Neodiprion lecontei: one gene and its partners. The protein of the gene in region 4 interacts with the protein of the main gene of each other region in a pairwise test. Links are inferred from orthologs where the notes say so. Each region holds a gene or a part of one and is shown on either strand. Other genes may lie near its edges.

Evidence for each region.
Region 1: the proteins of cytoplasmic protein NCK1 (region 4) and neural Wiskott-Aldrich syndrome protein interact in a two-hybrid assay, tested with the Drosophila melanogaster proteins (2 studies listed by BioGRID). The link is inferred for Neodiprion lecontei from reciprocal best matches to the Drosophila melanogaster genes dock and WASp.
Region 2: the proteins of cytoplasmic protein NCK1 (region 4) and serine/threonine-protein kinase Pak interact in a two-hybrid assay, tested with the Drosophila melanogaster proteins (3 studies listed by BioGRID). The link is inferred for Neodiprion lecontei from reciprocal best matches to the Drosophila melanogaster genes dock and Pak.
Region 3: the proteins of cytoplasmic protein NCK1 (region 4) and insulin-like receptor interact in a two-hybrid assay, tested with the Drosophila melanogaster proteins (2 studies listed by BioGRID). The link is inferred for Neodiprion lecontei from reciprocal best matches to the Drosophila melanogaster genes dock and InR.

What each region holds. Positions count from the first base shown.
Region 1 is NC_060260.1:27,945,902-27,951,480, reverse strand, and holds neural Wiskott-Aldrich syndrome protein, read right to left. Parts: upstream 3,994-5,579; 5' UTR 3,848-3,993; coding exon 3,752-3,847; intron 2,815-3,751; coding exon 2,534-2,814; intron 2,379-2,533; coding exon 2,082-2,378; intron 1,965-2,081; coding exon 1,652-1,964; intron 1,559-1,651; coding exon 1,244-1,558; intron 985-1,243; coding exon 733-984; 3' UTR 504-732; downstream 1-503. Other genes in the region: ralBP1-associated Eps domain-containing protein 2, read left to right, coding at 5,328-5,480.
Region 2 is NC_060263.1:25,613,940-25,618,730, forward strand, and holds the start of serine/threonine-protein kinase Pak, read right to left. Parts: upstream 3,043-4,791; 5' UTR 2,894-3,042; exon of another isoform or gene 2,499-2,893; intron 205-2,498; 5' UTR 142-204; coding exon 86-141; intron 1-85.
Region 3 is NC_060266.1:24,896,591-24,901,237, reverse strand, and holds the start of insulin-like receptor, read right to left. Parts: upstream 3,011-4,647; 5' UTR 2,521-3,010; intron 1-2,520. UniProt on the Drosophila melanogaster protein: Has a ligand-stimulated tyrosine-protein kinase activity. Binds 3 insulin-like peptide ligands.
Region 4 is NC_060261.1:35,431,530-35,438,197, reverse strand, and holds cytoplasmic protein NCK1, read left to right. Parts: upstream 1-1,797; 5' UTR 1,798-2,387; intron 2,388-3,103; 5' UTR 3,104-3,326; coding exon 3,327-3,345; intron 3,346-3,736; coding exon 3,737-4,674; intron 4,675-4,923; coding exon 4,924-5,145; 3' UTR 5,146-6,088; downstream 6,089-6,668. Other genes in the region: integral membrane protein 2C, read right to left, coding at 227-310; arf-GAP domain and FG repeat-containing protein 1, read right to left, coding at 6,089-6,142, 6,233-6,363, 6,496-6,668. UniProt on the Drosophila melanogaster protein: Adapter protein that links cell surface receptor tyrosine phosphorylation to downstream signaling pathways and effectors, many of which are involved in regulation of the actin cytoskeleton.

The DNA of each region.
Region 1 (5,579 bases), on a different chromosome or scaffold from region 4:
TTCGATTAATGCGTAACAGAAATATTTTTTTATATATCGTGTGTTGAAAGAAGGTACAAGGAAGGAAGTGTTTTTATCACCACGCCATGTTGAACATCTTATCACTATAGTCAGACTTTAGAAAATATTCAAAATGTATTTAAGCATGCACAACGTTTCATATTTCAATTCAAATAGTTAACTTTAAATATAACGAACCTGTCATATTATAGCTTAAAAATACAATAAATTAATTTCTATGCATGAGACTGCAAACCATTAGTGCGCAGTAGTTTCACTTTATTCCATTTCTGAACCATACTCCAGCTGAAAAAGGGTGCTGCATGCCAGATTAAAGTATATAAATAAAATAATTGACCATTAACACTCGCATCTCGTTTTCAGTATCTCTGAAACTTAGGGACTCACTTACATGTTTACTTTATGAAACACAATAATAAATTCATTTTTATACTAAAAATACCGTAATCAATACGAAAAATATCAGTATCAAAAGGAAGCACCTCTCTAACATACTTAAATTTTTAAGCACTCAGCACCCTTTCAGAAAAAAATAGTTCTTACATTGCTCTCAATTACCTAGTATAATTGCTTGGGGAAAAAAAAAAGAAAAACTTTTGTTTTCAACTTATTTTCATCTAGTAAATAATAAGCCAGGTACTCGTAGGACCTGCACATTAAATCATCGATCTTTACAAATACCTTTTTAGTGTTACAGACAAAAGTAACTATTCAATCGTCCCAGTCATCACCACTGGTCTCACTCGTTGAATCGTCACTGTCGCTATCACTGTGTATTACACGCGATCTTTCTGCTAGGGCCCTAGTTAAAGCTCCAGCTAAACTATTCTGTATGATTGGAGACGGGGCAGATTTTGGTTGATTTGCAACCGACTTCAACTCGACTCCCTGGCGTATCTGACTCAACAGATTACCTCTAGTATCGTCAGCCAAATTTGGCTTGGGCTCGACTTTGTCCACCTTCTGCAATATAAAAGTAAATCGAGTCACGAAAGTATATGGATATGAAAACATTTTAAATGAAATTTCGAAATTGAATTCATTTAAACACGGATTATCCCAATTGCAGCTATGCTGAAAATTAATGAAAATTATAAATAAATCAAAAGTTTGCTCAGATACATCTTATGTGCATTAAATATTTTCGGATTTACGAAATAAAAATTGATCACATAACGTATATCATCAGATTTAAAAAACAAATTTGAAACGGTCATCGTACCTTGAGCGTTGTACCACTTCTGATTGCATCGAGCAAAGCATTTCTGGTATCAGGTAATCCACCATTGTTATTAGTGGCATTACTGTTTATTGTCTCATTATCCATCTCTGTTAATTGTGGTATCGGAGGTGCAGGAGGAGGAGGTATGTTTGTGGACATTGGAGGTGGAGGTGGTGGTGGAGGACATGGTGGTGATGTCACAGAAGATGCAACAGGGCGAGCCGGCAAAGGCCGATGAGCAGGAGGGGCATTAGGTGGTGGAGGTGGTGCAGCAGTTCTTGAAGGTGGCAAAGGCGGAGCACTACGTGGCTGATTCTGAAATGATCATAATAAATTAAAGCATGACTGATGTACTTAAAAGATAACTCGGATATTAGTATAGTTTTTCCTAACATTATGGCAACGCACACTACTTATTGGAGGTCCGGGACTAACTGGAACAGTTCGAGCGGGAACAGGAGGTGGAGGTCCTAATCCTGTCGGTGCTGGCGGCGGTGGTGGTTGATTGCCTTGTATACTCGAAGGTGGTATTATAGCTGCTTTAACAGCATTTATGCCCCCATGGCATTCGATGAAGTCATAGATGAACTCTCGCGTCTTTCGATCTCTCAGCTGATCATCCGAAACACCTGCTGTGTCGAAAAACTGCTTTAATTGCGGATCTACGGATTCCAATTCTAAACCTTTACTGTTCACATTCCAACCCATGTGTGCCACATGTCTGTAACAGGTAATATTACACAATTAATATATTTCTCGAGAGAAAATTTGTATTACGCAAATTTCTTTATAGTGTCAAGGTTGAGAGCGCAATACTCTCAATAAATTAAAATCATACCGAAAGTTTGAGGGGGAACCTATGTCCGCCTTTGTCAATCTTCTCTTTGGATCCTTGTCCTGTTTATGGTTCTTAGCTTTGTACATCGAACTACTGGACACGCTTCTATTGACAGTAGCGGATGATGAAGAGCCATTTGATATGTCTGTTGAACTTCCAGTGCTGAAACCTACAGCTGAGGTATTGCTGTGGCTCTTTTTTGGCAACGTCAGCGAATGATGAGAATCGGCATTAATTCGTGACTTTCTTTCTTGTCTTCTTTGCCTCTTAGCATTAAGCTTTTCAAGAATTATCGACCTTTGATGTGAGGAAAGGAAATTATTATCAAACCATCGACAATAATGAACGATTGTAACATATATAAAATTAGACTGTATGTTACTTCATAGCAAAACATGTTGTGCCATAATCTTGACTTCTTATTGCGGTTTTAGAGAAAAAGCGATTAATACCTCAATATGATTGCATCTGTTTCGCTGGCAAAATTAAAAGCAGTCATAGAATCTTCACCCTCGAATGTGTGAAAATGGGACATGGGAGCTTTGTAATCCATTGAATTATAGACTTCATGTTCCCACAGCATTGCGTTTCTTCGCAGACAATACAGCCTAAAAAAGTAACTGCGTCTTGGATTATCTTTAATGAGTGTTATTACACCAGTATCTCTTTTTATCCAATCCCTATGTGATGGAGACTCAGTTACGTATAGTTGTATCACACCAGCTGCAAGGCACTGAAATAGCAAAACATACTGTTAGCTACACAATTGTCTCACATGTTGTGACAAAAATACAACAAATGAGTCATAAGCAAAACAACATGACCAAATATTAGTTTGAATAAAAATATTAACCATTTGTTTCGAACAATTAAAAGCGTGCTTGCCTCGTCTCAACTAAAATTAGATGCAATTACTGACCGCTGATGTGAAATGTGAAGATATGGAATTTACAATTATGTTATAATTATGATCTAATTGTATAGTATATCGCTTAAATATGAAAAAAAACTTATGAAGGTTCCCAATGGCCTATATGTTGAAATAAGTGTGTTATATGAAAAATGTTACAAAATACTCTGTTATCAAATGAAATATGATAATGCTTTATAATCTTAAGCCAGAAATTGATAACATTCCTGTCATAGCAGTATATGTTTGAAATATTGTGATAAGCAGACAGAACTTCTTGCAAAATCACAGATTATGTGTAACATAATGATCAGCCATTGATCATATGACTTCAAGCATTTTAAATATACCCAACATATGCGGTAATTATAATGACAATCCAATAAATGGCAACTAAAATTTAGAATAACTAAAACATAAAATCGAAAGTCTAACTAACAGATGTTAGTTTACATCTAAATTCTATATGCACCATTTACTGCTTCAAAAATAATAAATTTGTAATGTCAACAAGGTGGAGTCTGCGAATAATCATACAACATAGAATGTTGTCATAGATCAGAGAATACAGTATATTCAATAAGTAATAGTGTTTTGAAAAATTTTCACGTATTCGACAGGAACTTCTAAATTAGGCAATCTTTGGTTCTAAACACGTAGGTAGACAACGATTGCCTGTAGCTTTAAATATAGGTCAGTATCAGTTAGCAATGAAAGGATATTGACAAAGGTAGTGATGACAAATTTGACAAGTTCACACCTGACATCGGTTCCCAATAAGCTTGAAGACTTCCTGGTTTTCTTCCTTCGAGAGAAGGATGGATCCTCTGTGCTCGTTCAAGCGTCCAGATTTCATTTTCGACAAAAAATATTATACACGTTTAGGTTATGGACGTAGCGATATCCACGGCTCCAGAAGTTCCATTCGATTCCCAGACGGCCCAGGGCACTGGCACGTAAATCACCGTAGAATTGATTGCGGATTTTGCATTTTTGCCCGCTTACAACCGCCTATCCGTGAGTAAGCCTTCACCGTATACCGAAAGCAACACCACCCACGAAGGTATCTCAACAGGAAGCGAGAGTGACGCTTGATGACATTTTCTTGCATCCGGTTCGATGAGCATTGTCTTTTTTTCCTTTCGTAGATACATAACCTATTTTTAATACACAAGATTTAAGTACACACGAACGAACGGGTGGATAAAGAGTAGTCATCCACTTATACGCGACTCTAGTGAGTCATTAACCACGATCACAGCTAATTCGCAATGAATTCTAACAGGGGTCAAAATCATGCCTGTCAGTTGAACGTATGTACAAAGTGAGACTGCACTGCCCGTCACTGTCTACGTATAACCACATCAACACTTTGATATTACATTGTTGACACTTATCCGCAATCAGAAAGTATTCAAGACATTTCTAGCAAGTGTGCAGAAATTTATTATTGAATAACTGTTGCGCAAACCACGTAATTCGCTGAAGTATACGCAGAGGATTCTGCTAGCAAATGTCAATTTCGCGGATCATTACTGCCGTAGTAGACCTGTAAAACTCCCATCCTTCCGAGGCGTGTCTCTAACTGATAGGCAGCAGGTAAACAATTTTAGCCCAACTGGGTCATCCTTACAAGCTACGTTTTCTTCCTATGAATCGGTTTTATCTCCTCGTTTGACACGCGCGCTAAATCAACCCATGAATTCGATATTCGACGTTATTCGATGGTGCAGTTTGCATGATCTGTGATCGTAGAAGATCAACTGCTTATTGTATTTCGATGAAGAGAAATGAAAAAGACAACTTCGTACGCACAGGCGCTACCATCGCAGTAGTTACGTATAATTGCAAATGAGACAGTAGCGTATTCATAGGACAAGATAATAATAGGAATAGGAATCGAGATGATTCCTTTGTTTATCTAACGGTCGATAACTATGCTCTTCAATCTTCAATGAAAGGTACTACACGTCAAACATTCATTGAAGAACAGCACTATCGTTCAGCTTCAGTAAAAAATTGAGATGACGTCATTATTGGTATTGTAGTGCCGGTAAAGAAGGAACTCAGGAAAAATTTACGCGTGCGCGAATTCAACAAAGACGGACAATCCTTGATCAAGTTAGTCAATGTTTGAGCGTACGTCAAACGGACGAATATGGCGAATGTGCCTGTATGCCCGTTTACGTGGGGTGTAGCTAGTAAATCGTAAAATGAATGACCAGTGTCATTTATCTTGCTTGGATATACCGTATTAGAATAATGTCACCTTAACCGTATCATGTTTAGGTGGTACAATATTCCGCGAATAACTAAACTAACGTTAATTTGACAAGATGGAGGATCCACAGCTGACCGAAGAGGAACACGATCTTTACGGAGAGACTTTCAACTGTTTTCGCAAAGACCCTGACATTGATGAGGTCCCAATCGCCAAAGTCACTCAACTTGTACGCACCACTCACATACCGCGCCGAATTGCCAAAAAGGTATAAAATTTAGCATACCATTTAAACATCACGTTCCTAGTTCTAAACCATTACTGTGTACCACTATCAATTCTCAATAATTCGAACTAATGTTATTCC
Region 2 (4,791 bases), on a different chromosome or scaffold from region 4:
GTAAAACCTTGAATATATAAAGTGATAACAAGGATCACATGGTAATTCAATATTTGAAACATTAAATTTAGTGTTGTAACAGTACCTGTTTGAGGTGAGGCGAACCGGTGGTGCCGGAGGTTTGTCTTCTTCATCTGACATTATGCTCTTCGTGGTGTTTAGTTTTCTTTACCTTTCCTTTATAGCTGAGCTTCCACTTATTCACTAGTGAACATAATGTAATAGTTATTAAACGTAGGTCATCGTTTTTTACACTTAAATCATTAATTAGTTCAAAATGTTTCAAAAACTTTTAAAAACATTGAAGTAATTTGAAACCATCTAATTATTAATGTGCTCATATCATATTGTACTGTAACTTTTCAGCCGAATGTATCTGCGATGTTGAAATTTAATATGGCTCGAAAAACCTATAAAAACAAATCATTATGTAACAATTTTCGAACAAGATTGTCAGGGTTCTAATGGCAAAGTGAGTAAACTCTGCTCTGACAAAGCCTTAATTTACCGTTTAATGCATTTCTTACAATTCGGATTTGGCAAAATATCAATTGAAAAAAAAAAAATATTTCAGTGTTACGAACTTGAACTTTGTATGCATATACTACTATCTAATATAAAGATTAAAACTCATGATATTCGATGGAAATACGAGATCAAGTAGTAACTTAAGGTATGGATGAAGTTAGTAACCATACTGTAACAATACATGTTGAGGAAAAATCGTTACTTCACACCTTTAGGAATGTCTGAAATTTAGTAAACCACGATAAATAAAATATACTCATATTTTGCAGAGCCAACTTCTTGACAGTCGTTTTAAAATTGTGCAATAATGATTTTTTTCTTAATATTTCATTACGTTGACATTATTAACTTCAGCTTTATAACTTAAGTGGGTCTGATTTTTGATGTAATCTTAAAGTAAAACGTCAGTTATCTAAATATCAATTGTACATATTAGGGATTATCCGAATCACAATTTCTGATTCCACGTTTAGTTCACTCATTTGAAAAGTCATGCAAAAATGAATCATGTAGAAGTTAATAACGTTATCGTAACGATTTATGCTGAGAAAAAATCTTTTTTTTCACGAATTTGGCATTGTTTCAAATTCAGTGAACTGTTATGATCCAAGACATACTCATATTTTGAAATCTTACTTTCTTGACCATCATTCTAAAATAAGAAAATAATGAATTTTTACCTAATTTTTCACTATGATAACGTTGTGTACTTCAATCGCGTAACAATGAGACACGTCATTGATTTTTACATGTTATTATAAATGAGCTTACGTTGTAAAACAAAGGAGAATCGTCAATTTTGTCTCGTGGTGAAATAAAAATCTATTGTAAACATGTTGAACGATTTTAAATAAATATATTTCATGAGTTTGAACAAATCATTGCTCTACTGTAGTTCCATTATTCAACATTGCAGTTACATTCATTTGCATCTTTCGCGGAAATTTCTGGCACAGATTAAATAGATGAGTATAATAACAATGCGAATCAACTTGTTTCAGACTTATTTCCGTATAAGCTAATCAAAAAAGTAGTTACATTCTCATCTGCACGTATTAAGTTCTGTACTTTTCCAATTTTTCTTTTTATTGCAAATAGTCGTGTATCCAAATGACTAAAACTTATTAATGTTGGGCAGTCAGGTTTCAGTTTCATGAATAAACAAGTCGAAATTATCGACAGCGATAAAGCTACTTGTTTGTTACTGGATTTTATTTTCAAGTTCTCTGCACTAAGTGATGATATTTATCTTCATTGTTTCAAGGTTAATGAGACAAGAGCTGGCAAACTATCCACAAAGTTTACTAAAGATTTCAAACTATGAATAAAAAACTGTATTGCATTTTCATACAGAAATCTTGTACCTAACAGACTTTTTGTTATATTAATTTACGACCATCCAAAGGCGAGAAACACCCGCAGTATGATTTTTCTTACATGTGTGTTTTGGCTTAGGATAGCAATGGAATATAAAAATTGATCAAAACAAAAGTGACAGTATAACAAAGACCAAACCTAATTCAAGCTCAGTGATAAATTTAGGACGTACACACATTTGGAGTGCTCAGAGTGATCCATGTAGATTTGTTCCGTAGTAAGAATAGCCATTAATATGGAAGATTGAGTGCAAAATCACATGTATCATTGAGAAGCAATAAAATATTACTGCAAGACAACTATTAAGTCAATAAAATTTTGAACGGTATTAAAAGGCAGGAAAATGTTTACAGCTATGTTCAGTTTCAAATAATTGATAAGAGACATGTTGAGAGCAAGTACGAGGAACAACAATGAGTACATGTAACGAATATGAATAAAACGTTGACTTACAAATGTAGATTATTCACAGTTATAATAGACAAATTTTGTTCCAACACTACAAGTTTATAGGGTATTAACTAGAGTTCTCTTTGGTTTAGATTAGACAAAAAAATACATATGTATGTACGAATTCAGCGTTACAGGTTTACCATTTATTATTTGAACCTTCAGCAGCCTTAAGTGTATCACAGTCGAGGATAGTCAAAGATCTAGTTGATGAAAAGCATGCCCGACACTGCACTAATTGTGACAGAACAGAGCATTTGAAACATAATTCCACCGGCCGTTTGGAAAATACAGCTGAAAGATCAAAAAAAAAGAAGGTATGTTTTAGCCGTGGGATGAGGAGGAAATGTCAAGTTCGTTGCAGACGGACCGATATTTGAAGTGCAGGAAAGAAGAGAATGGATATTGGCCATCCGGGAGCCCCTAAAGCGTGAATCACACACGACGAGCGATCTGATCACCACGCATCTGTACCAGCTCACAATAAAAAGGAACCACGATTTTTTCATGTACTTGACGTATTGCGGACGATTTATACCGTGCAAACCTCTTGACCGGCGTTAGTCGCGTGCCTGTATGACTTAAAGTGATCAACGACAATTCATTCTACTTAATATTTCGATTTTTTAAAAATCCTTTCACTTCAGACAAGGGCCTGAATCACCGCCCGCCATCGCCACAGACCATACGCATTCAAACACGAAAGTGAGAAAGGCAACTACAGGCTACTACCGTGCCACCACGGTCGTATTCGTTACGTTAGGTGTCCACAACTGGTAGCCTCGAGCCAAAACTTTGAAAAGGATGAAAGACTGATTCAAATTGCACTGAAACGAGAAATAAATGATAGTACGTTCTAAAATTAGCTGACGGCGTTAAAAACTCTTTAGGACAGAGGCAGAGCTACTCACGAACCCGGCAGGGCAAAAAAGCTAAAAGATTGCTGACAGCACTGGGAGCGGCAGTGTTCCCAACTCGTCCGTGGGGGGCTATGTGACCAGGGCCGTAGCATTATAGTACCGAAAAAAAAATTATAGTACTTTTTTGAAAATGTTAATAATGCAATAAAATCACGGAATATGGAATGACGGCAGGAACTGGCGGGAAGCGGGAAACGGGGCGCTCAAATCAACACCAACGCGCCTGAGCCCGAACCGTGCATGTCAGCGCCCTCCGTAATAATGTGGTTAAAATTAAAAACCACATTATGGTGAATGGCGCTGACAATTTTTTGCCTAGCGCGAAAAGATTTGAATACGTTTCTTTTGAAAAGTATTAAAAATCTTTTTTTTTCGAAAAGTATTAAAGAATTTTGTCCGCCAGTTTTTGTATTACAAAAAAAAACTTCTTTTTATACAAATTTCCAAATTATAGTAGATTTCCGTCACATAATGAAAGTTCTATGTTACATAGTACGAAGTTCATATTTATGTGACATCTACTACAATTATGTGACGGTTGGGAACACTGTTGGCAACCACTTGCTCAGCCCCCTGCAACTAGATCGAGCGAAAAAGTCAAAAGAGTAACCTAGTATGTCACATAATTTTAGTTCTTATTGAAGGCGCTAGTAGTGCAGTTGCACGGGTTGCACTCTGTAAAGGCCGTAAAGGTAATCGCGCAAACCCACTGATATATATCGCAAACCGCGCAACTGTACTACTAACGCTCTCTACCGAGTGTGACAACATAGACTCGTTTTCTGAAACACAGAGTTGCAGGGAGCTGCACTTGCTCGATCGACCGAGTATATCTATATATACTCTGCGAGCGCGCCTAATTTCATGCCTGGCACACGATTGTAGGCCGCCTTCGGTGCATGGCCGCCTAGGTGTCGCGTCGACGCTCCAACCTAGCTGGTATCACGAAAAGCCGAGCGTTAGAGATCTCCCTACTTATCTCTGGTGAGCATGTCAGAAGTCTACTAGCGCCACGTAGAGGAACTGAAAAACGGGTACAAAACAAGAAGCTACGTCGGAAAGTGTCATTCAATTCTGATCTGGCGGTAAATATTTCGCCCCAAGAATCGACCATAAAAGCACGATGAACGGTTTGGCAGCGGAAAAAAGTTCGCAATCTCAACAGTCCAACAGCAAATATTCATTCTCATCGTTCGATAATCTCAACCTCGTACAGACGGTTTTATTTATCATCAGTTATCATTCCACATTATTGTCAGGCTTCTAGGTTCCGAACTGGGTCCGCGATTTTTTGCGGCGCAAGATTCGCGGCCCGCCGTTCCGGCATCGCTGAGTTTGCAGAACATTTCTCAGGACGCGAACAGGTCTGGGTAAGAATCAGGATGGTACGTCATGACACAGACAGGTACGTCATTTCGCCTTCAGGTGACCTCCAAAATTTCGTTTGTTTTGCTGTATCTATCACCGTTCTCGAGATATTCGCGATTCAACTCGATCAACCCCCACTCCATGGGAA
Region 3 (4,647 bases), on a different chromosome or scaffold from region 4:
AAGAAGAAAAGTAACGTAAGGAAGACGAATTTTTCAACGAGCAGCAGCAGCAGCAGCTACGTAGAACGATATTCGTTACACCATTTATACAAAATAATTTCACACCATTGCATAAGGCTCGCGTTGTTATTAATTTTAAACCAAGTTTCGCACCCGTTCGGTTACCGAGATATATCTATATTATTTATGTACTGCATGTAAATAATTATACATATATATATATATATACACACGCACAATCGTATTATACAATAACAACATCGTTGAACATCGCGAAAACTTAATGCAACCCGTAGCTTCTTCTCGCGCTACGATAGTGAATTATCATCATATTAGTTTACGTTGCACTAAAAAACAACGATAATAATTGTACAATGCACGACATATGTCGGACAGGCAGGCCATGCTACATAGTACGGTACGACAAACGTGTGTAATATCTAATACACGTACATATAGGCGTGTAATAAATTTTGCCTCAAACCTCGTCTTTGTCTTTTTGTTTTTTTTTTGTTTTTGTTTTTTTCTTTTGTCTTTGTACTTGCGTCGTCGAAGACACGCAAGAATCACAAGCATCGAACGAAAACTATTAGGATATCGGGCATAGAGATAGGAAAAAGACGGACAACGCACATGTGTACGCATACGTGTACACGTATAGATTAGAGGCGCGTGAGACGATTTGCGCGTGTATAAGTGGCGTGGCGTGGCGTGCGTGAGTGAATGCTTTCGCGCGCGTGTGTGTGTGTGTGTGTGTGTGTGTGTAAAACGCGAGTACGGGAGACTCCGCGTCAGGGACAATAATAGAATATCTCCATCTCACTCGGTCGACGTTTTCGATCCAGCGACGACTTTGGGCCACTTGTCCTCTTTCTTTTCTTCACCGACGTCGTTATTATTTATCCGTATTACGATTCGAAGCAAATTTTCATTACCACCGTTAATACGTGTACGTATAACGTGTGCCTGTATATATTTATGAACAACGTAAAGCATTTCATCCGTCGTGGAAATAACGCGAGTTAAATATTTCTTTATTTTATTATTGTCATTATTTTTGTTGTTGTTGTTGTTTTTCTTTCCCCGCTCCTTCTTTCTTTCGTTCGTTCTCATCCCCAAATTTTCTCCGACTCGTCGTACCTCGTTGTTTTCGCATCATCAATTTACAGTTCACGTAGTCACGTCGTGTTTATCTATTATAGTATACCTAAAGCATATTATGCCTACCTAATAACCCATCGTACTACGCACGGTGCGTGGGAAATTGTAATTACGCGTAGCGACGTACGCTCGAATTTCCCCGAAACTCGATAACGTCATTTCTTCCTTTCCTTACAACAACGCAACCGGCAATCACGGTATTATTACACCGGATATGATATTGCGTCATTGAATATCGAAAGATAACAACAGTCGTGACAATAGTAACAATAATAATAATAATAACAACGCAACAACAACAACAACAACAACAACAATTTGTCTCGTCGGCGAGTTGTTGGAAGAACAAAGAAAACAAATAAATAAAAGGAACAAAAAATTAAGAGAGGGGGGGGGGAGGGGCGAAGAGACGGTAAACGTTAACCTCGCGCTTAAAACTAGACCTAGAGCCGATACGTGTAGATGTGTGTACGTGTGTGTATACATATATATATGTACACACAAACACATGTATGTATGCATGCACGATTTACGCAGGGGAACAGAATCGCAAACGCGTACTGCGTATGTACGGTGTATGTATAGCAGAAGAAACGGTTGCATGTGTATGCCGGGGGGGGGGGGGGGGGGGAAGGAAAAAATAAAATTACCAACAATAACGATAATGCGCGTAATATTGTACGTACGTAGAGCACGAGTCGAAGAAAAGAGAGAAGGCATGAAATAAAAAATAAAAAAAATTACAAAAAAAAAAAATAATAAATAAATAAAATAAAATAAAAAAATGAAGGAAGAAAATAGAAAAAATGAGCAGCAGCAGCAGCAGAAACGGCAGTGGTATTGGTATTGCGGCGATAGGATAAGATCGGTGACGCAGGCGTGCGCGAGGGACTGACTATACCAACTCGGTTTTCAGTAGAATCTGGTGGAAATAAAAAAAAAGAGAGAAAAAAAATAAAATAAAAGTATGTACTCCGTGAGCATTGTGCGTAGGTTAGCGATTATATGCGAGTGTAGTTGGCTGCGGGAAGAGACAGACAAGACTTGGTAATCTGCGTACGTGAAATAAAATAAAATAAAATACCGCGTAAGTATATCGCGGCGTGAGAAGCGAGATATGCCCGAAAATACGACGTAGATGTAGGTAGGACAGGATAGGATAGGTATAGTGGCGCCTAGAAAGAGGCTAGATAGATGTCTCTCTATCCGGTATGAAAAGGCGGCGGTGTGTAGACGACGAAGTAAGTAAAGTTTTGTCGATTATCGGATTATCGGTTTATCGGTTGAAAATAGAGAAATACTTTTAGAGAGGCTAGAAATATGGAGAGAGAGAGAGAGAGAGAGGGGGGGGGGACTCACCTTGTGGCGTTCCAAACTTGCCCACCCGTGCTGCAACATTTTTCGAACGTACCAACAGCAGCAGCAGCAGCAGCAGCACCACCACCACCACCACACCACCACTACACCACCACCACCACCAGACGCACCACTTTGTCGAGGTTAAAGACCACCAACAGCACTAAAAACAAACTATTACCGCCTATCACTTCCGGCTAATATCGACCGGTAATCACAACACCGTTATTCACCTTTGATTCAGAGATGTTCAACGATTGATACGCAAACCGAACGCGAGTTGTTTACTACAATGCCGTACCACGAGAGCATCAACCATGCCCGTGCTGTAGCCGCGTCTCGTACTCTCGTACTCTCCTTGACTGAGCAAAACAAGCCCCGTGCGCAGTGAGATACTGCGCAGCTCACGCCGAGTAACGCGCGCATCGTCATCGTCGTCGTCGTCGTCGTCTCGTCGACAAACCCGAGGAGCCGTACGAACCAACGGCGTAGTTTTTTCCCCCTGCTTCTTTCTTATTCTTTATCTCTCTTTCTTTCTTTCTTTCTTTTTTTTTCTGCTACCCCTCTTCTTTTGCCTTAGTCTTTTTACTTTTTACTTCGAGTTTTTTCCTCCGCGGCCACTTCGAAAGCGTAACAATTCTTCTACCTACGCGGGCGGTCGCCCTGCTGTACCAACCGACTTTTCACCGGCCGAATACAACTACGCGGCACTCTTCGATACCGAACACTAGCATTTTACCATCACGACACACTATCGGTCACATGTTTTCAACGTGTCTACGATTTTTGTTCATTTTTTTCGTCATGCGCCCCTTATTGGTACCACGAGGGATTTATTCATCATTCGATTCGTAAAACGTTGTATCAACGGCCGAAAGGGGAGGGGGAGGGGTTCATTGTCCTCTTGGGTATGGCGGACTATTTCTAGGAAATTTCCGGCATTCACAGACGGACTGGCTGCGCCATCTACCCGCATTCACCGCGTAGTTTTTTTTTTTTCTTCGTTTTGTTCATTAGCTTTTTTTTCACCACATCTAGACACGTCGGTAAGGATGGATTGGGTGAACAATCTGTTTTATCAAAACCAACTTAACGCATCGCATATTACATACTGAGTGGATTTAATTTTCAAATAAATAAATATACATATGCGTACGTGTACATACTTTTTGTTCTTTTCTGTTACTTGCCAACATTCGCCTTTTGTATTGTTATTACCTCTTCAACATATATTTTGTGTTTACGTTTGCATATGATGCTGTATGTTCCAGTTTGCTCTCTTTCTCACTATCTCCCTCTCTATCTTTTCTTTTCAGCTTAGGAGTTCCTTTCTTGACATAGTTTAAAAAAAAAATCATCCAATCTTATTGCCCATCATCTGATAATACGTGAAAGGTCAAAAGGCCTGAGATGTGAAGCACGAGAAAATACGAAGAGTAGAATATTAATTTGTAAATTAAATAAGAAAATTATAACAATTGTTTACCTTGTGTACAATAAAAGTGTAGGACAAGGACCATTTGTGGCCATTTAAATATAATATCACTTACAAAAACCCCTTACAACAACGAGCGTATTGTATACATTTACCGTTGAGGAAATCGAAATACAATACGCGTATACGTACCAATCGTTGATCGTAGTAATACTATTTTCATATCGAACACCAACGTGATTGCAATAATCTACAAAAGCGTTGCTTCGTTGATATTATACACGTTTGACGTGTAATTAACAACTATCGAATTGCACCGGCGTCAAGTCGGAAGAATCCCAATACGACACTCCAGAACTTGCAATGAAGCCATCCTAATATGTTTGCTTGCAAAATGTTCGTCGTAAAAACATTCGATAATTTTCGCTACTTTCCACACTTTGTCTTTACAGTGAACATTGCGTCGTAAACTAACTTTTAGAACGTTTTCTTCAATGAATTTTTTGCATCGCAATATAGTCTAGCAAGCCTTGAGTTATAATCAACAAAACACGATTATTGAATTACATAAATTGTATACAAGGATCTTAAAGATCGGGTGCGTAGATATACTTTAAGTAGTTTTTGACTCGTTGAAAGAGTCTGAAAAACTTTGAGAAATCCATTTGCAAACGTGCATGACAATTCCCTAACAG
Region 4 (6,668 bases):
TAAGATCAGCAGGCTTGACTATTTGTTTGACTGTTCCACAAGTGATAAGACTTTAATGACGTAAATACGCAGCAATCTACGGTTTATGATTTTCTCGAATGAACGCGCCGTTTGTAAAAAATATGAATTCACATACCAATTCTTAATGATGGAAAAGTACGATTGGATACTTTTTGAACGTAAATATAAGAAAAAATGATAAAAGTTTGATATTTATAATACTAACTGGAGGTATCTCGTCCACAACCAATGGTAGCTCCACTATGTCCGCAGCTTTCTTCTCAGTGATGGCTTTAGTGATTATCGTCATCTCGATGTAAAACTTTCGGTGAAGTTATTTAACTCTTCTCGTCGTCAGCACAATAAATATACAAGTCAATTTATTCTGCAATTCTCGAAACTCACCCAATTCGCTTGGTGATTAAGTGGGGTAATGGAACTCGCGCAAAGCTTAAAGTCGATCGAAACACAACCGTGATCCGGACACCAATAACACAACGATACGACAGAATCACGTACTACCGCACACAGAGTGCATGATTGATCGGTGACAGCTGCGCAGCTAGCCTCCACCCACCCCTAGTCTTCCCGTCGCTACAAAATATCACGGCAATGAGAATCTCTAAGCCATCTAGGCGCAGAGAGCGGTACTTTCACGATTGGCAGCCTACCCAGGGTAGCATTATCTCAAAAGTTCGTGTTGTGACCGTCACATGCGCGCGTGCATGACTTTACCGGCTAATGTAGTTTAGTATCCTTGCCTGCCGGCAAACCACTATCTGTCTATTTCCGCAAGAAGAGTCCAAGTAATCAGTGAGAAAACCCGTGCATGTCGGTCGATTGACACGCTGCATCGCATACAACGATTATGCTCAATCCTGCCGTAAATTCGACTCATGTTGCACCAGCATGCATCAATCATGACTAATTCTACCGCAAATTGCAGCCAATTATGGTTTTACATGATCGGATATGCTACAGCAAATTCTACCTGGGCCAGGTAGCTTTCAGTCGCAAGTTCATATTGTGACCGTCACATACGCGCAGGCTAGATTCTGCCGCACTGATACTCTCTGACTGATATATTATCATTAGATTATTTATCAGAGCTCTGCCGGCAGACCACTATCTGACTGTTTCCGCAGTTGTGGGAAGACTTGAACATGTGCGCTACCACACTACGGTGCTGTATTGATGTATTCATTCCATAGACAATGTCTATGATTCATTCATGCATCAATGCAGGTTATTTGAAAATCACATTACAGTTCGTGCACTCCCGAGAAAGGTAAAAGAACCGTTGAATCGCCACCTGCATATGAAAAATTGAAGTAATCAGTGAACAGCCGCGCTGCAGCAGTATGCAACAATCATGCCAAATGTTGCTGTCAAGTGCTACCGAACGCGGTCTTGCATCATCGGATGCTACAGAAAATGCTACTTGGGCAAGCCTCCGGACAGAAAGTGATAATATTATATTCTCCTCTGAAACCCTATTGAACACCGATCTTATAGGTTTGCGATAATTGTTTGACAAAAAATATCGTCTTTGCAAGTTAACGCTAAACCGATTACTACGATTCACTAATTTAAAAGTAATGACGCGATTTTTCATTGCGCTGTTTGAAAATTTCCAGGATTTGCGCTGTGACCACTTATGGCTCCGCGTGTGTTAGGACAGTAGACAAACAACTGTAATCATTTTACCAAAGCCTTGCGTCTAGCTAGTCACTACGATTGACAGAAATTGGTTTCCGAATTGTGAGCACGATGGCGCTGTTTGAAAATGGTAGTTGTAGAATTTTCGAGGGCCTGTAGTCTCTGCGTTTAGTCTGCCTTTAATCGGCGTCTCCGGTTTTAAGGGTGGGTCTGTCTTTTTGTGGGAGGGGTCGTACCGACGAACACGAGTAGGATTAATTGAAAATATAAGGACACTTTCGACGGAGAGCCTCTAGTCAGTAACGAGAGTCGATAGTGGACCCGGTCCAGGGTATTCGAACTTCGAACGAAGTGCGATTTCGTTAGACGACGATACGTTGAGGACGTACACATACGACATTGGTGATTACTACCGCGCGGTGGATGAATTTTCTTCAAGCCCTGTAGGGTCCATCCCTTATTCCTTTCCCCGTAGTCTGCCCGTCCGTTCGTTTTTCCCTTTCCCCCCTGGCCCTCTCTCCTTTGCTTCATTACACTACGTACTCCTCTGTTCATGGCTACAGAGTTCGGGGTGGGGGTAACAAGCTGTATTATCCTGCAGGATATTATACTCAGAGTTGAAAGTTAAGGAGAGACAGGAATTGGACAGAACTGAGCAGCTCCTTATATATCGAATCACCAAAAGATTACTGAAGTTTTATGCAGGAATATGTCAAGTTTAAAAATTGGTAAGAACTAACAATCGAATACCTCTAAAACTCTAGCATTGAAAGACTAGAATTGTAACTGCTTCAAGTTTTTTGAACGTATTCTTTATTTCATCCTCTGCAATGTAGCTGTGGAATTAATCACTCAAAGATAATTTTTGAGGCTATCTATGTTTGTAAATCCCTATCTTATTGTAATTTCTGAAAGTAATATTATATGAATTGTCTCTGCTTCCATTTTAACTTTCAAGTGTTCAACGATTAGTCATTAAGCTCAACTCGTTGGTATCTTTAACATTGGTCAGCTGACATTTTGCATGATTAATTTTCAACATGTTATAAGTGCATCAATAATGTGGATACTCGTTATCTGTATTACAATATGATTTTTAAGTAAAGGCTCTTCTTGTAGCGCATTATAAAGTATTGGTCAATGCTAGCGGAAATGTATTATTATGTAGCTAAACTTATTGTAGAGATATATTGAGCTATTAAGATAGCTGTAGAGCAAATCTTTCATGTACAACCCATTCTTGTCATACATTTCATTCGCAACTCTGGTACTGTAGTGGTCTGTAAAATGTTACCCCTTATTCACGACCACAACATATTAAATTCAAAGACAAACATATGCCGCCTGGTACTTGGACGTGCCTCTTTATTTAAGTTTTCAGCAACTATTATTTATTTCAATTACTTGGTATAATTAATGGCTGATTATTTTGTTTTCCTTAAAGTGTTGGCAATACACTTGCTTAATCTACCTTTGCGAACGATGGACCCTGAACCAAGAAATCAGAGGGTGTGCCAACAATAAAAAACAAAAAAAAGCTAAAGAATGAATGCCTGCTCCACTGACCCTGCCGACACAACACAAGCAGGCTTAAGATTCATTCACGTAGTACGTGAGTAGCCGATAACACGTGCCACTCTTCGACGTACATATCTCTATATTCGCACATGGCAGCCATGAAGCATGGTACGTCTTACAATTGTTTGCTTGTTGCTTTTCGATGTAGCCCGTATATTCTTTTGATTATTTACTACATTTTTGAGATTGAATACGTTTTCTCTTTGTTGTTTGTTTACTTTTGAATATTGTTATTTCGGAACATAGAATGAAAGAAAAAAAAAATCATAAAAAGTGAGCTTCTTTAGTGCTTAGATATATTGTTTGTATATGTTGTTTACAATTGTAATTAATAAAGCAATCTATTACCAATTATTATTCAATTCGAATTAAACATTCCATTTTATCACGAGAAGTTTGGTCCTATTATATTCAATTATGCTTTTAACCAAGGAGTAGCTTTTAGCAGAAGCAGTATGCCATCAATTGAGTGAAGTGTAATTGGATTTCATTCCTACAGGCAAGACCAGTCAGGACGACGTGTGCTACGTCGTCGCCAAGTACGATTATGGGGGACAAGGAGCCCAAGAATTGGATCTTCGTAAAAATGAACGATACTTATTGCTCGACGACTCCAAACATTGGTGGAGAGTCCAGAGTGCCAGGGGTCAAGCTGGGTATGTTCCAAGTAATTACGTCAAGAAGGAAAAGCCATCTCTGTTTGACAGTATCAAAAAAAAAGTCAAGAAAGGTTCAGGATCAAAAACGTTACCATCGAGTAACTCACCCTCAAGAGCGGTCGAGTCGCCAACCATGGCTCGAAGATTACCCGCAGATCCGAGTGAAGCAATTGGAACAGCAGTTGTAAAATATAATTATCAAGCGCAGCAGGCAGATGAATTGTCATTGGTGAAAGGAACGCGGATTCTCATACTTGAGAAGAGTAATGACGGCTGGTGGAGAGGACAGAGTGGCACTCAGGCCGGTTGGTTTCCTTCAAATTATACTCAAGAAGAAGGAGATGCAGATGATACGTTGCACACTTATGCAATGGCAGAAAATGTGTTGGATATTGTTGTGGCTCTCTATTCATTTTCTTCCAACAATGATCAGGAGTTATCCTTTGAGAAAGGAGATCGTTTAGAAATCCTTGATCGTCCACCAGCTGATCCTGAATGGTACAAGGCTAGAAATGGCCAGGGACAAATTGGCTTGGTTCCTCGCAACTACTTACAAGAACTAAGTGAGTACTTGACACAACCTTACCGTGAGCGAGGAATGACAACCAGTGAAATTGGAGCTGGAGACTCATTGGAACGAAGGCCTGATTCAGGGGATAGACCCCATCTTGTTGGGAAGCCATGGTACTATGGAAGAATAACTCGATCTCAGTGCGACACTCTTCTAAATCAGCATGGTCAAGATGGGGATTTCCTCATTAGAGACAGTGAAACAAACGTGAGTTACTTTTGTATTCACTGTATGGGCATTACAGAAAAGCAAAGACAATAGCTAAAATATCAAATTGTATCAAATTCCTTTCACTTGTCTTATTTATATGAAATCCACCAATACCAAATTCACTCAAATAGTGGCTCATATTAATTTATGGATGTGCAATTTTCGATTTGTAATGAATATATAATATATTCAGGTAATCAGTGAACTTTTTCCAATACTGTTTGATATTTAAATTGGTGTGTGTAGATGGGAGATTACTCTGTATCACTCAAGGCACCAGGACGAAATAAACACTTCAGGGTACACGTGGAGGGTGCTTTGTATTGCATCGGGCAGCGGAAATTTCATACTCTCGATCAACTGGTGGATCATTACCAACGAGCTCCGATCTATACAAACAGACAAGGCGAGAAATTATTTTTAGTTCGTCCATTACCGAAAGGGAATCCTAGTAGCAATGGCTGCTAGACTAAAATAATGCAGCATTGTTTTTCTGTACGTAGGATTATCTTAATACCTAATACCTGCCTAGCGTAACAATTGATATGATTACGTTAAGCAGTATTTATACACGAGACTAACATAATTGGTGAGCTCATATATTAGTGTTTCTCTTATTTGTCTTTTATTACTAAATAATTTATTACCATAAGTAATATAATTAATGATAAATAATGAACGTTGGAGCTTCCAACTTTACAACATATTAGTAAAAGTAATGGCAGCTAAGCGAGCTGGTGGGAGATCATTCATTTAGTTGACGCCATGCTTCTTTATCTATTTAATTAATATTGTACTAAGGTGTTGCGTCGACTATGATGCTACTAGTAGAGAATGCCAACGTACCCATGCATACTCTAGCGCACGCAAGTATAACGATCAATGAATGATAATTATTAAACCATACGACGAGTAACCAGATCTATCAATATGGAATATACCGATTAAGTTAAAACAAAGACTAAGTGTTCATTTGTGATTTTGTATTTATTAGAACATTTTTAAGTAAATAAACCATATTTAAGTGTGCACACATCTTTCACCCATTATTGTCGTCATCTTCCGAAGTATTCCAAGTATCATTATCACCATTTCAAACACACTCTTTACATTTATCATTGGGTTGTGTTAATGATGGACGGGTGAAAAGGTACTACGTCATAAAACCATAATATATCTGTATAATTAGTAACAAATATTATCTTTATTTAACGTGTATATTATATTCATAAATAAAAGTATCATTTACTTTTTTGTTATATGAATAAATGAGATTGGTGCTCTTAAAACGTAAAGTTGTTGGCACTAATTGCCAACAAAGTCATGTATATAAACAATTTTTTCGATACTATAAGTATTTTAGTTTTGCATTATTTGTTCGTAAGGTAATTATAAATTTAGGCTTGCATAATCATAAGAAAGGATTGTTCGTATTTCTTGTTGTCGTGCCAACTCCGGATCCCACCTGAAAATAAAATTTATCAAGTTTAAGAATTTGATGTTAGTTCATCGTTTGTAAATGGAATTGGCGGTCATTTTTCATGACCCAACTTACCATGAATGGATTTGCGTGATAGGAAGTCACTTTTGGTTGCCATGCTTTGCTCGAAAACGGCGTCATCAACTGACTAGACGAAACTACGTCACCATTACCAGGTAATCCAACTCCAAACCATTGCTGCTCTGCTACGAAGAAATAAATTAAAAATCTACTTGCTATAAAACGATACTGTTGAAAAATCATATATCAATGCACAACTGAGTCAGGTATTAGGTATCGTCAAACACAAATGTGATTTCTATACTGTTATACATTACCATTATTTGAAGAGAATTGGATTGTCCTGAAGGGATTGACTGAATTGCACGCATTGTCCATGGGTTGCGAATTGTTATTATTATTTACGCTATTTACCGTTGGCTGCCAAGCATTTTCGCTAGTGAACGGATTTGAAATTACATTTGTTGTTTGGTTATTGCCTCCCCAAATT